Diceros bicornis minor: one gene and its partner. The protein of the gene in region 2 binds, or shares a complex with, the protein of the main gene of each other region. Links are inferred from orthologs where the notes say so. Each region holds a gene or a part of one and is shown on either strand. Other genes may lie near its edges. The genes, in order: LY96 and TLR4.

Region 1 (8,090 bases), on a different chromosome or scaffold from region 2:
ATGAACTATGGGAAGCAGTGTTAATCTGTCTCTTTTGGTTTGGAGCACAGGTTTTGGCCTGTCTTCTCGGGCATAGTTGCCCATAGTGGGGATCTCCCTGTCTGGTCGAGTGTGGTTAGCTGTAGGGGTAATAGTGACCTAAGTAGTGTTGTCTTCTGACCAGTGGTGTAGGTCTGCACCTGGGATCTGAACCCGCTAACTTGGGCTGCCAAAGCAGAGCATGCTGAACTTAACCACTATGCCACCAGACCAGCCCATAAGTAGTGTTGTCTTGAGTGGTCTCATTTGTCATTCCATGTGTGCTCTCCTCCCTTAGTGCACCCTATCAGAGTAGGAAAATCATTTGTACTAAAAAGATGGACAGTACCTTTTATAAAATAGCAATCTCTTAACTTTATCGAGTGTTGATAGTTTAAGGTGTTTACCTCTAATTGTAAAATGAAAGTTGGTTCTTGTGAAGGATTTTCAGCCAGAAGCTAAGGCCACACATCATGCTATTTAGATCAGGAGATACTAAGTGCCTGGAGTGTGCCAGAGGCACAGTTAAGAACAAAACACCGGGCTGGCCCCATGGTGTAGTGGTTGAGTTTGTGTGCTCCACTGTGGCGGGCCGGGGTTCATGGGTTCAGATCCCGGGTGCGGACCTACGTCACTCATCATACCATGCTGCGGTGGTGACCTGTATACAAAATAGAGGAAAGATTGGCACAGCTGTTAGCTCAGGGCTAATCTTCCTCAGCAAAAACCCCCCAAAAAACGACACCCACTCTGTTTGGAGCTGCCTAACGTGTCCTGTTGCCTGCCAAGATGGTAACTCTAATCTGTACGGCTTGCCTGTGTATGAGGCAGGTTGATGGGAAGCAGCAGGGGCATCACTAGTTCCTAGGGAAAGATGGTTCAAGTCTGAAGCTGCTAGAAGTCGATAGGAGACAGCTTGAGTGAGGAAAGTGTTCATCTTCCTGTGACCCAGAGCCTGCCCTCTCCTGGGAGCAGCCAGCTTGTGATCCTAGCAGTGGGTGGGCTCTGGGTCTCGGGAAGATGAACAGGTAGTACCATCTCTCTCCTTAGGTTGGGCCTCTGCCCGCCTGCTCCTCTGTCTTGTGTCACCTAGATACATACCTGTTGCTATCCTAGCAGTTAATGTGATTTATATCTTTCTCTGAAAATTATTCCATGATCAAATGCTCGTTATCAAATAGAAAGTAGAAACAAGAAGAAATCACTCCTAGAAAAAAACGGCGTCGTTAACATTTTGAAGTTTCCAAAGGGTCGATTTCCTCGTAACTTGTTTTGAGTCCAGGATATCTTTTTTTTTTGAAGGTCCTGTATCCGTGTAGCCATTTTCTCACCTATGTACTGGTGTGAAAAACCCATTTTTATTAGTATCAGAATAACTTTTCAGAAGACAGCTTGGTTGTTTAGGAAAAAAAAAAGGCTTAAAAGACTGAGAGAGAGGATTTCTAAAGGGCGTGGTCTGGAGTGAGACTAAGATGTAGACAAGGATCAGCATGCATAGGATAACACGATGATTCATTACTGAAATAGCGGAAACACCAGTCCGAGATGAGGAGAAGTATTCGCACATCTCTCCATGACACTTCACCACCGTCACCCCAGGCAGAGTCATCCCACTTTCTATGAGAAAGGCATTGAGTCAGGTTTTTTTGAGTCTCAAAAGGCAGGGTGCCCGGCTAACATCTAGGTGACATCAGATAATATACCCTTTGACAATTAATTGTACTGTACTGTAATCCTTTTTCTCAGTGGAGATTTCATTATACTGAAAGACTTCAGCTTTTAGAAGCAAAAGTAACAAAATGGCGGTTAGGTATGAATAATAGCCTTAGCTTGGACACATTTGTTAAAATTGTATTCTTATTTTTTCAGAATACTTTGTACTTTTGTTGTTGTTTTTCTTTTCACTGAGAATTTCAAACATTCAAAAGTAGGAGAGTGAACCAACATGACTATCATCCAGATTCAACAATTACCAATTTGTGATCAATATTGTTTCCTCTAGACCCTAACCACTTACCCTCTCCTTTTATTTGGAAGCAAATCCCAGATGTCATAACATTTCTTAAGTAATTAATTTTGTAACACTACAAAATAACGACTTAAAAAATGTAACTATAATACCATTATAATACCTAAACTGCCCCCCTCAATGTTATCAAATATCCAATCTTCAAATTTCCAATCGTTTCATAACTTTTTTCTCCACATTTTGTTTGGATTAAGAGCCAAGTAAAATTCATACCATATTCACAAACTGTTGAAATGTCTTTTAAGACTCTTCTAATCTATGGGCCCCTCCATTTCTTTCACAATTCTTTTCTTCCCCTGCAAATTATCTGTTGAAGAAACTGAGTTGTCTTGATATCTTTTCATGGTCTGGATTGTCTGATTGTATCCCCAAGGCATAGTTTAACATGTTTCTCTGTCTTGTGTATTTTCTACAAATTGGACTTGAGGCTTCATCAGATTGAGGTTTGATTATTCTGGACAAGACTAAGTCATAGATGATGTTTGTATTGATTATCTATCATTGCATAACAAATTGCCCCTCAAACTTAGAGGCTTAAAACAACAAACACCTGTAATATTGCACAGTGTATTGGTCAGGAATTCGGGAGTGGCTTAGCTGAGCGGTTCTGGCTCAGGTTCTCTCATGAGGTTGCAGTCCAGATATTAGCTGGTGCTGCTATCATCTGAAGGCTGGACCAGGCCAGGAAGCACTGCTTCTAAGACGGCTCACTCACACGGCTGACAAATTGGTGCTGGCTTTTTGGCATGAGGCCTCAGTTTTTGACCACATGGATCTCTCCTCAGGGCTACTTGCTTCCCCCAGAGCAACTGATCCAGGAGAGCAAGGTGGAAGCCACATGTCTTTTATGATCTACCTTAGAAGTCACACATTGTCATTGTGCAATATTTTATTAGTTACACAGTTAGCCTTATTCAGTGTTGGAGGGGACTACACAGGAAGTTGCGTACCAGGAAGTAAGGATCATTGGGAACTATCTTGGAGGCTGGCTGCCACAGTGTTCATCCATCAAGAGGTACACAATGCCTTTCTGTCTCTCCCTTTGTGATGCTCAATGCCTAAGTCCACTAATTCATTAGATGTTGCAAAATGGTTATACACTACTATTCCTTTTTCGTATATTAGCTAAAATATATCTCAAAGTAGAGAAAAGAGTAAGAGATGGCAAGGGAAACTTGCCCCTCTCTATTATTTGGTTACCGATTGTTCCGTTTTTATAGAAATGTCAGGATAAATGCTTGATTCTTTCCCTTTATTTACCAATCTTCAAAATAGAATTGATTTCCCAGCATCAACTGATGGTTAATTAGACTTAAAAAAATTATTATGAGCTCATGGATTTAAATATATTTGATGTGTTTCAATTCATTGCAGTTACTATCTTATTGAAGTTCGTATAATCTACAGGTAGGCTGAATAATGGCCCTGCAAGATGTTTATGTCCTAATCACCAAAAGCTGTGAATGTTACATTATACAGTAAAAGAGATTTTTTAGATGGATCTTGAATTAGGGAGATTATCCTGGATTATCCAAATGATTCCAGTGTAATCACAGGGATCCTTATAAGAGGGAGGCAGGAGGCCAGAGGAGATGTTAATGTGATGTTGGAAGCAGAGGTGGTAGTGCTGCACTTTGAAGATGGGAGGCAGGCAAGGATTGCAGCTCTTGAAGCTGAAAAAGGCAAGGAAACAGATTCTTCTCCCAGATCTCTAAAAGGATCCAGCTCTGCTGACATCTTGACTTTAGCCCAGTGAAAATGATTTTGGACTTGTGACCTCCAGAACTGTGAGAGAATGTATTTGTATTGTTTTAAGCCACAAGTTTGTGTTTATTTGTTACAGCAGCAATAGGAAACTAACAACGCTGTCTTTGATCAGTGGAACCACCTTCAAATTGGTTATCTAATATGAGAAGATGTTCTGGGTTCATCTTGTACATTTTTTGCCCCAGACCTGGAATTAACAATTTCTCCAAAGAGTCTTGGTTCCTTTGATTAGGAAATTGTATTTTGAGACCCCTAAGGGCGTTCATGGGTTTTTCCTCCTTTTTTTTTTTTTTCACTTGTAACGTATATTTTTAAATTGTCAAAAACATAAATTTACCATCTTAACCAATTTTAAATGTACAGTTCAGTAGTGTTAATTATATTTACATTGAGGTACAACAGATCTCTGGAACTTTTTCATCTTGCAAACCTGAAACTCAATACCCGTTGAACAGCAACTCCCCATTTCCCTGTCCCCCCATGGGTTTTTGCCTTTTTAAAAATGGGACAGTAGCACAGTTCTTTAGTGAAAACTTTTTACCAACATATGATTATTTTCCTCTAAACGTGTAGATTTTTAGGTCCTGACTCCACACCATTTTTGGCTACTAATCCCAAACTATATCTTATAAAGGATTTCAAGTACACAGCATCTAAAAGATTAGCTGTTTTTCTAAAACGGACCGAGAATTTTGAAATGAAATACACGCCACACACGAAATAATGATCATTTCATTATTAGGGCTCAAGATAATCCTTGGAGCTGTAGTTTGCTCAGGTAAGTGCATTTTCAAGCCTGGTGGGACCCCTGCTCACAAAGCAGAACCACAGCTAGTGTCCCATATCCCGGCTCTGCCCCGTGGTTGACCCTGCTGCTGAGTGGAAACAGTTTGCATAAGACTGGTCAGTTCAGATCTATAGGTCCAGGTCTCCCGGCCATGAGAAAGTGTTGTGTAACGAGCTCATGGGAGAGAATAGCAATGCAGGTGGAAAAGGAGTGCCAGTCTTTTGGAATTCTAAAGGATACTTTCTATTGGCTGGGAAGTATCTTGTTTTGTTTGTAAAGCTCTGGTCACCCTCATTTGCATCAAGTGTTTGAAGAGTATGTTCTAAATCATTTTCCTCTCTCCCCTTGCAGGAAGTGCTCACATATTAAACACACACACACACACACGCGTACACACACACACACACACACACACAAAAGAGGAAACAGTTGGATAGGAACTCAGAAATCATGTGACTGATGACTAAGTTAAATTTCTTCTACATACTGAAAGGGAAGAGTGATGATTAGTTATTGATTCTCCTTGCATTTTTAAAGTTTTGGAGAGATCGAATCATGTTCTCATTTATGCTGTTTTTCTCTCTGTTTTCTTCTGTATTTACTGAACCTGAGAAGCTACACTGGATCTGCAACTCCTCTGATTCAAGTATCTGGTACAGCTACTGTGGTAAGTACAATGGCCACAGACAGTAGTTGTAGCGTCGGCTATTTCAAGGGTGAGTTTTCACAAGAACCTTATTCTGTTGTCGCTGGGACACAGGAAATGACTGAGTGTTCCAGTTGCTGCTGGCAGCAAAAATGATGGCTGGTTCCCGCCCTGTGCGGGTTTTCTCGACCCTTCACAGACCTCACGAGTCTCTCAACTGTGCTGTACTTGACTTCCAAATGCTTCTGCTTTTCCCTGTGGTCAGTTGTCTCTACTTTGAGCTCGGTTTCAGGTTCTTCCCAGTTTCGGCAGAAATGTCTGCTTCTGAGATTTTGCCTCAGCCCCAAGACTTACTGGTTCTTCTTGAGAAGACAGAACAGTGCTAGCTGCTTCCTGGAATCGATTATTGCTCCACACTGTGGTTCTTTTTTCAGCACAGTGCCGGGCCTGTGACAGGTTCTCTGTAATTGTTTCAGGCTGTGAATTTCGAGAGCTCCTGGAATCACCTCCCTCATTAGATGTAAGCCTGGTTCTGTCAGTTACTAGCTGTGTGACCTGGAGCAAAGTACTTAGCCTCTCTGCATCCCAGCTCTTTTATCTGTAAAATGAAAGTGATTTTAGAGCCCATTTTACAAGGATTGCTGTGAGGTCAAGTTTTCTATGTGAGGAGTCACATGGAAACAATAATTTTGATTGCTTTTTTTAAATCAGCCATTCCTAATGTTATTAGCTGGTTGTATCACTGTGTTTTGTTTTTTTTCTTTCTCTACAAACGTCTGCTGGTCTGAAAGCATGGTTTCAGGGTTTGATCTCTGTTTTGGTTTGGTACTTCCCACTGCGTTGCTCACCATGGATTGGCTGCCCTTTTCTACCCACTAGCAACATCAGTACGGTTTAAAGGGGTGCTTCCCAAAATGCTAGGTCTTTGAGAGTCTCTTGGGAAAAAGCATCTATGGTCTAACCATTTGAGGAAGATTTACAAATGTATTTTGAATTTTGAAAAATTCTGCAATAAAGAAACCTATTTAATCCCTAGATTTTCAATTTTATTTTACTTTATTTTTTGAGTGTGTTGACTGTCCTGAGAAACACTCTCAGGAAAATGCTGATATAAAGTATCTTTCGGGGAATTAAAGTAATTGCAGAGTGTGAGAACAAGACTTTGGGGTGTGACCAATCTCACACTTGTGGCTTTTTTCCTATTTGTGGCTTGTGCTGACTTCCCCCTCAACTTCTCTCTGAAGTTTCTGCACCCTGCAAGATCAGTGTACCTTCCCCCCTTCCGGAAGGCTCTGCACCTGTGGCCCCTACTTCTCTCCTCTGCTTTGGCCCCTGTGTACCACATATTGATTATGCCCCCTTCTCTGTACTATGTGCCGTATGGCCTTTATTTATATAACACTTCATGTTATTACTTTGCTTTTAATCTTTTAGGAACAATAATTCGATTTGTCTTTTGATTTGATTTTTGAGAGAGGATCTTACCTGTTTCTCTCTAATGCTGAGAAATGGGGTCCTTTCCTGCCACCCCACGGATAGATGCAGGAACTGTGGGGAGGAGGCAGAATACACAGCTCCACCAAGACTCTGCTAGCCACCATCCCCACTGCCATGTCCCTCCCTTCCCCACCTTAGAGCACGCATCCTGGCTGAGCAGAAAATGCATGCTGTGTGGGAAGCACTGGTCCCTCCAAGTATATTGTGAGGATGTTGGTGACAACAACAAGCCCTGATTCAATCATTTCTGGGAGGATGATTTCCATTTGGCCATGCTACTGGGCATGTACAGTGTATCACATGGGCTGCCGTAACAAAACACCGCAGACTGGGGGGCTTAAGCAACAGAAACTTATTTCTCATAGCTCTGGAGGCTGGAAGTCCAAGATCCAGGGTCAGCAGGTTAGGTTTCCCTCTGAGGCCTCTCTCCTGGGCTTGCAGATGGCTGCTTTCTTGCTGTGTCTTCATATGGCCTTTTCTCAGTGTGTGCTCATCCCTCGGGACTCTCTGTGTGTCTAAATCTCCCCTTCTTCTAAGGACACCAATCATATTGGATCAGGGCCCACCTGACTGGCCTCTCTTTAACTTAATCTCCTCTTTAAAAGCTCTGTCTCCAAATACAATCACATTCTGAGGGACTGCGGGTTAGCACATCAACATGTAAATTTAGTGGGGATGCAATTCAGCCCATAACATACAGAAATGGCAAGAATTGGCTGTTTTATTGCCTAACTTTGGAAAAGGCGGAAAATGTGGGTGTGTGAGCTCTAGACACACACCCTCCTGTAACCTAGAGTGGTCAGATTCAGTTCTAACCTTTTTTTTTTTTTTGCTACAAATAGTCCAGAAACCCAAGGAATTAATGGATTATAATTAAACCAGGATTCACTGACCATCTGGCATGTTCCTGTTCTAGACACTGAGCGTATTATATAGCAGTGAGCAACAGAGACAAAAGTACCTGCCCTCATGGAGTTTCCATCAGTAAAATATTCAGCATGTCAGATGGTGGTAATTGGTGAGAGAGAAAAATAAAGCAGGGGAGGGGAGAGAGAGGGCAGAGATTGGGAAAGGGGTTGCATTATAAATTAGGATGACCAAGGAAGGCATCACTGAGAAGGTGACATTTAGCAAGCACCTAGAATAGTGGAGGGAGTGAGCCATGCTGATGTCTAGGGGAAGGGGTGGAGGAAAGAGCAAGTGCAAAGACCCTGGGGTGGGAACGTGTCTGGTGTGTTGGAAGGGTAGCAAGGAGGCCACTGTGGCTATGAAGGAGTAAGTGAGAGGGAAAGCAGTAGAAGATGAGGTAACAGAAGGAAATGGTGAGGAGGTGAGGGCCTTGTAGG
Region 2 (7,548 bases):
CACTAGATTGTAAGCTTTGATAGTCTTGCTCTCTGCTATGCCTCCAGCACTCAGGATGGTGCCTGGCAAATGGTTAATGCTTAGTAAATATTTGGTGAATAAATGAATGAATAACTGATGGAATGGAAGTTTGTTGAAATCCAAATGGTAGGCATTTTCTGCTAAGTGCTGCAGGCAGTACAAAGACCAACGTGATGTGGCTCCTGACATCAATGATCTCACAATCTAGATAGAGGAAGGGTTCAGAGAGGAGCACAACTCACATCACTAAAAAGGACCATATTGGAAACGCTCGGAAAATATTTCCTTTGGTTCAGAAAAGGTAGATATCAATTCCGGATCCAGGGATCGCAGAAGGCTTCTGAGAAAGAGAAGTTTTCGAAGTGGGTCTTGAAGGATGAGTAAGATTTGGATACATGGAAAGAGGAAGAAGGAGAGAACAGTGTAAGGAGGGGTGAAAAACTAGTTCAGATCAGCTGGCACATGGTGAGAGTGGTGAAACCAAAGCCAGAGGGGAAGCCAGAGCCAGGCCAGGAGGGCCTCGTACTTTGTCCTGTGGCAATACTTTTAATCATTTAACACATATAAATTGATCAATTTCTATGTGCGAGGCACTGGGATATAGTGATAAACAAAACCAGTAATGATCTCTCTCTCTCATAGATTCCGTTTCAAAGGGAAAGACAAACAATAAACAAAAAATATATAATGGCGTGCTATTAAAAAATAAAGCAACACGAGATTAGAGGCAAATATGTGGGTGGGGAGTTCTATATGAGGTGATCAAGAAAGACCTCCTGGAGGTGGTGACATTTAAGCAGAAATATGAATAAAGTGAGGGATTAAGCCATGAAAATATCTAGGCCTGCACTGTCCAATAGGGTAGCCACTAGCCACACACAGCTATTGAGCATGAGAAATGTGAATAGTCTAAACTGAGACATATGGTAAATGTAAAACATGTACTAAATCTCCAAGACTTAGTACCAAAGAAAGAATGTAAAATATCTTATTAATACTTTAGTATATATTACATCTTGAAAAATATTTTGAATATACTGGGTTAAATAAAAATATTATTAAAATTAAATTCACCTGTTTCTTTTTATTTATTTATTTTTTATTTTTTATTTTTTTGCTGAGGAAGATTTGCCCTGAGCTAACATCTGTTGAAAATCTTCCTCTATTTTGCATGTGGGCCACCACCACAGCATGGCCACTGACCAGTGGTATAGGTCTGCGCCCAGGAACTGAACCCGGACTGCCGAAGTGGAGTGTGCCAAAACTAACCACTAGGCAACCGGGGCTGACCCTCTTTTCATTCTTTTAATGTGGCTACTAGAAGATTTAAAAGTATGTTTTATACTTAGTTAGTTAAAATTTAGTTAATTTAGTTAAATAAGAATTTAGTTAAATTTGTTATTTAAATAATATCATGTGACCCACATGATATTACCATTGGGCAGCAATGATCTAGGGGAAAAGCATTCTAGCTAGAGGAAATAGCCAGTGCAAAGGCCCTGAGGTAACAAACAGTTCTAATAGCAATGGAGAGTTAGCATAAGCTTTTAAGGAGGGCAGTTTGTTAGAACCGAATCTCAGGAAAAACAACAAATAAACAACAAACAAAAATGTGCAGAGTGAATTAAAGGAAGCAGGCTATGGAGTCAGGAGACCAGTCACTATCCAAGAGTCAAGGCCAAGGGAACTGAGGACCTGCCCTTGGTGGCACTGAGGTTGGACAGGTTTTGGAGACTGAGAGAATAGGGAACGTGGGGAAAGGGAGGATCCAAGAGTGGAGATGACCTTGATTGGAGGATCTATCCCCATTAACCTAGCAGCAGGAGGCACACAGAGAGGAGGACGAGAAGTGGGGAACTGGGAGCATACACGACTTGGAGATAACAAATGTGTCTTTGGTACATATTAAGGTGCACTATTCCCCCATGTCCTCAATTTTAGGACTCTGGCTGGTTATGCTTTTCTTGTTTCTGACCCTGCCACAGCCTAAATCCCAGGGCATTGTTTTGGCTGTTTGGTTCTATCATGGGCTTCAAAGCAACTGTGAAGTCCACGCAGGGGAAAAACAAGAGATCCATCACGAATGAGATCATTAGCTGGCTGGTGTTTCACAAAGAAAGAAACCACTGGATTAGCTGATATTTTACATCTTTCCCTCTCTCTCTTTTTTCTTCTCTCTTTATCTCTCTCTGTGTCTCTTTCTCTGTTTCTCTCTCTTTTTCTTTTCCAATCTCTTTTCTTTTCATCCTTTGGACAGAACTATGACTAGATTCAGAAGTCTGAAATCCACTTTGAAAGTTCTTTCTATTAAGAAACAGAAAACCATCTTCTTCCTGACATTGAAAGGGGCAAAGTGACTGCTCGAAGCTGAGTGTACAAACCACCAGTGGGAAGGGAGGACAGGAAGGCACCTTCTTAGAACTCTCTATTGAATGAGGTATCATTACAATTATTTTATAGATGTGAAAATTAGTCTCAGAGAGGTTTAATAACTTCTTCAAGGTCACACAGCCCAGAAGGTGAAGAACAGTGATTTTAAGCAGGTGTATCTGACGTAAAGCCCCTATTAGCACTTAAAGTCCTAAATGGAACACGACCCCATGGCTGCCTGTTAGTGTCTGGTAACCACGAATTATTTGGTGCCTGTGGCTTCTCAAGTCTTTCAGGTAATTTGACTCCTTTTAGCAAATGAAACTAAGTAGAGCCCACAGTGGGAAGTTCTGGGCAGAGAGCAGTATTTCAGAAGCAAGGCAAAGCTCACAGCAGATGAGCTGACGCCACCACATACCTGCACACAAGGGTCCCAGGTCTCAGGTCTCAGGCAGGAGAGGAAGGCCATGGCTGGGATCAGAGTCCCAGCCAGGCGGGTGGGCGGCATCATCCTGGCATTTTCTGCGACCAAAAGTGGCCCTGTGAAAGCATGACGCACCAGGGCAGCCTCCGAGGCACTGCTGTCTTCTCTCCCCTGCTCGGTTCCCCACGGCAATGACTGTATTCAAAGCAGTGCTAGCTTAAGGGGCCAGAGGAAGTGAGAGTGGCAACCTTAGCATTCTGGACTTTTGTTTCTCTAATATTTATCTGCTCTGTCACAGGAGGGGAAGTTAGAAGAAGAAGAAGAAAACGTTTGCAGACCAGTGGCTGGAGTAACAGCGAGAGGAAGCTGGCTTTTATCCCAGGAAGTCATCTGACCTCCGGGTTAGTGAACTCAGGAAAAAAAAATCAGACCAGTCAAACAGCCTGTGTAACTATCTAGGATGGTGCCTTTCCAATTTTGTTTTAGCAGTGGAAACTTACTGTCTGTGTTAGTTTCCTGGGGTTGCCATAACAAAATACCACAGACTGGATGGCTTAAACAACAGAAATTTATTTCCTCACAGTTCTGGAGCCTAGAAGTCTGAAATCAAGGTGTTAGCAGGGTCGATTTCTTCTCAGGCTCTCTCGTTGGCTTTAGATGGCCGTCTTCTCCCTCTGCCTTTGCATGCTCTTGCCTCTGGGTGTGTCTGTGTCCTAATCTCCTCTTCTTATTAGGACACCAGTCAGATTGGATTAGGGCTCACCCATGTGAATTCATTTTTCCTTAATTACCTGTTTGAAGACCCTACTCCCAATACAGTCACATTCTGAGATACAGGGGTTAGGACTTTAACGCATGAACTTTGGGAGGACATGATTCAGCCCACAGCGCTGTGCAATCTTGTAAAATCTTGTGAAGAAACTCACATTTATGAAACTGAAAATAAAGCCCCAGTGAAACACAGTTTGAAAAGTACAAGAATATTGGGAAAAGATTGGGATGAAGAATCAAATATACTGAAATTCAAATCCAGGCTGGGTAATTTATGGCCATGTGACATGGTCAAGTCACTGAAACTACTGAGCCTTAATTTCTGGTCTGTAAAATGGGATAATAGTTTTTAATTACAACAAAGGCTTGCATTTATAAAATTTATAAAAATAAAGCCATGTGACAGTTGCCAAATGATACAAGTTGCTAAGCCTTCATTCTTGGTCTTTAAAAAGGAGACAATCACATTTGTCTTGCATGATTGAATTTACGTAAAATGCTTAGTCTAGCGCATGCTTCATCAGTATATTCCGTAAATCGGTAGGTATTATGATGACTAAATAAAATAATAAAATGGGGCTCACAATATGAACCTCAAAGTATTGTCATGAGATTAAATAAGCTGGCATTTGTAAAGCTTTTAGGACAGTATCTGGGATGTAGCAAGTGCAGTGTAAGTTTCTGTTAAATAAGAACATAGATTAAAATAGGGATATTACTGGCATTGTGTCCTAGATAGTTAGATAGTTCTACCAAGATGTCCTGCGGACACCTCAAATCCAGCATATCTAAAATCAAGCAGTGAGGGAGCATAGGAGACTGAGCACAAACTCTTGCAGACTTCTTGAACACAGCTGTAAAATTAAACTAAAAATAGTCTGCCTGTCCAAACTTTGCTTTGATGATGAATTGCAACTATGTAAACGTCTTAGGGCAGCACCTGGAACAGAGTAGGTGCTCAGTAAATTTTAGTTCCCTGGAAAGTTAACAGCGTTTCACTTCCACATAGTCATCCAAGATGGAAATCTCTTTGACTTCTGCATTTTCCTCATCGAATGGGTGTTAACTGTATTCTCTTATTTCCTGTTTTCTCATTGCTCTGGCTTGGGGCCTTGCTGACTGGGGATAGACTGCCCCTCCCAGGGCTAGCCATTTCTTAGAGATAGCAAATGATTTGCCCTAGAGCACACCTTTCATATGCAAACTAACCAGTCAAAAGCTCCTACCCTGAACCACCTCCTGTATCTGGCTTTTATATTCTAGGAGGCAATCTTTCCCTGCCCTAATCATCACAGGGCCAGGTACCAGACAACTAGAGAAAGTCCTTGTACCCCAGAGCCTGCAGAAATTATTCAAACTAGCCTATCTTAAGCCTGCTTACCCTTTCTTTCCTTGCCTTTCCCACAGAAACCACATTAATGGCTCCTGCCCTTGCCCCTTCTGCCTCCTGACAGACCCTGCACTCCTTCCCCATGTGGCCCTGCACGGTGTGGCGTGCCCCCTCCTCTTGGGAAATGTGAGCAACAAACCATATTTTCAATGCCAGTCATCTCCTGATCTGTTGGTCTCATCACACCTGAATAATAAGACCTTCATTTTAAAACAAAACATTCTACCAAATCCTAGAGATTTTACCTATAAAATAATTCTCAAATGTCTTTCTTCATTTCTATTAGTGTTACCATTAAACATATCCCTTGGCGAGGTTAGTGCACTGCATTGTTGATGGGGTTCAGGGCAGGCCGCCCCAAGATCTGCCACTCTGGTATGCGGATTATTTCAAGCTGAAGACAATAAAGGCTCAGAAGAATCATGAAGGATATTTGACCTTCCCCCAAACTGCCTAAAAGAATTTAAGATAAGAGGCCTGTCCCCAGGACAGGACAACACCATAGATAACTCTGGGTATGGATAGACTGGGAGGGTCCTTGCTAAGCCCATTCTTATCAAAGTTCTGTTTACCAAACATTTACATCTGTAAGGGAAATCTCCATTTGTAAAGGTATCTCCCCCTCTGTACTGAGAAGAGGAGGGTGATGACCTCATCTCTAGAAACTTATCAATGCAAAAGGCGAGGCCTTAAATCTGTGTAATAACCTTACTCTTGTTTACTGTGCTTTTCTGGTAATCTCCCATAGCTGACTACCCCCACTCCCAACATCCTCCTTTGTTTTTATCTGAATCTATTTAAGAGAACCTCTGCCATTTTGTTGAGTTACCCAGTGGGTCTCTCCCTTATATACATGTTATAAAGCTTTGTTTGATTTTCTCCTGCTATTTGGTCTCATGTCAATTTTATTTGTAGCCCAGCCTGAAAGAACTCAGAGTGGGCAGAGGTGAGTCTTCCTCCCTTTCACTGTTAACGGGTCTCCCAGTGTCTAGACTCATCTCTTCTAATGTCTCAACTCTTCTAATCCATCCTTTATCCTGAAATCAAAGCAATCTTCCTAAACTGTGAATAGAATTACCTCATGCCATGTTAATAATATTCTGGGGCTTGTATTGCCACTGTGCGCACACACACACACATACATACACACACACACACACACAGTCCATCGCCTAAGAAAGAGAAATAAACGTGTGTGCTGTTTCAGGCCAGACATAACTAGACTCCATTAATAGGACACAGCACATAGGTGAATAGAGTAATACAAATATGTAATGGTGCAAATACTCTTTCTTCCCATCACTGGAAAGAAAAACCCTTTGATGGTCAAGATGAGGCCTAAAAGAAAGGGTTCAGGGGGCCGGCCTGGTGGCATGGTGGTTAAGTTCATGCACTCCGCTTTGGCGGTCTGGGATTCACAGATTAGGATCCTGGGCATGGATGGACACGCCACTTATCAAGCCATGGTGGCATCCCGTTTACAAAATAGAGGAAGATGGGCACAGATGTTAACTCAAGGCTAATCTTCCTCACCAAACCAAAAAAAAAAAAAAAAAGAAAGAAAGGGTTTAAAACGATCTCCTGGACTATGTTTCTTAAGATGTTAATACATGTGTTTTATAGAAGTTTTCCTGGAAAATTTTCCAATCTATGACTGGAGAATTCCTGAGAGTGCCTTGTAAAGATGCTTCCTTTTCATGGGATTAACACACTATTATCTAGTAACCTTATCAAAGATATCTCAGTTCTGTGTACTTCTTCTAGAAGATAGGCCATATGTATCAATTACAAAAGATAAATGTTAAGCCTTCAGTTATCAAATCTTATTTGTTTTTGTTGATGGACCTACCATTGCCATGTTACAATGAGGTAAGACAGTGGTGATGAGTTACCATCCTGGGCCCATGGTTTCCACTGAAGTGTAGTAATAATTACGCCTTAGGCACACAGTAGTAGAGACTGGGCCAGGGGCATAGGAAGTGACTTAGTTTTCCACTCCATGTGGAGCAAGTTCAACTCCGGACCTATAATCATTGAGTCAATGGAGGACTCTCATCTTCACCAGAGTTCCTGCAGAAATGTCTCATTTGATTTGGCAGGTACCGCATATTCAGTAAGAAATATAGGAAGGACAAAACTGACCTGTGTTAAGTTAGGCCAATTGCGGTATCAACCTCCAAATTTCAGTGACAACACAGTAAAAGTTTATTTCTTGCTCATGAAATGCTTAGTGAGGATATTCCTAAGTGGAAGTACTTCAAGACTGATTCAAGGATCCAGGCTGCTTGTATTTCATTACGGTCCCGTATTCAATATGCAGCTTCTAAGTTTGCCACAGAATCTGAAAAGAACATGGGGAAGATGCACTGATACTTAACTACTTCTATTCAGAAGTAACATGTATCATCTCTGCTCTCACTCCATTGGCCAGAGCTAGTCTCAAGACCACACCCAATTGCAAGGACCCTCTATCTCTTAAGCTTCAAGCCTCCTACCCTGACCCAAAATTCACATACACCCACACAAACACACACACGCAGGTCACCGATGAGTACCGCTCCACAGCACTAAT

The links.
Region 1: the proteins of TLR4 (region 2) and LY96 are in contact, whole or in part, in a crystal structure (PDB 4G8A), measured with the Homo sapiens proteins. The link is inferred for Diceros bicornis minor from reciprocal best matches to the Homo sapiens genes TLR4 and LY96. Residues at the interface, in NP_612564.1 of Homo sapiens: Gln39, Met41, Glu42, Asp60, Ser62, Phe63, Asp84, Ser86, Arg87, Thr110, Gly111, Val132, Val134, Glu135, Asn156, His159, Ser183, Ser184, Asp209, Leu212, Arg234, Val259, Glu262, Phe263, Arg264, Asn265, Glu266, Arg289, Ala291, Tyr292; in NP_056179.4 of Homo sapiens: Met40, Tyr42, Ile66, Pro67, Arg68, Arg96, Ser98, Asp99, Asp100, Asp101, Tyr102, Ser103, Phe104, Arg106, Leu108, Lys109, Gly110, Glu111, Thr112, Thr115, Thr116, Ile117.

What each region holds. Positions count from the first base shown.
Region 1 is NC_080772.1:25,416,975-25,425,064, forward strand, and holds the start of LY96 (lymphocyte antigen 96), read left to right. Parts: upstream 1-5,043; 5' UTR 5,044-5,156; coding exon 5,157-5,268; intron 5,269-8,090. UniProt on the Homo sapiens protein: Binds bacterial lipopolysaccharide (LPS). Cooperates with TLR4 in the innate immune response to bacterial lipopolysaccharide (LPS), and with TLR2 in the response to cell wall components from Gram-positive and Gram-negative bacteria.
Region 2 is NC_080767.1:25,339,005-25,346,552, reverse strand, and holds the start of TLR4 (toll-like receptor 4), read right to left. Parts: upstream 3,123-7,548; 5' UTR 2,903-3,122; coding exon 2,810-2,902; intron 1-2,809.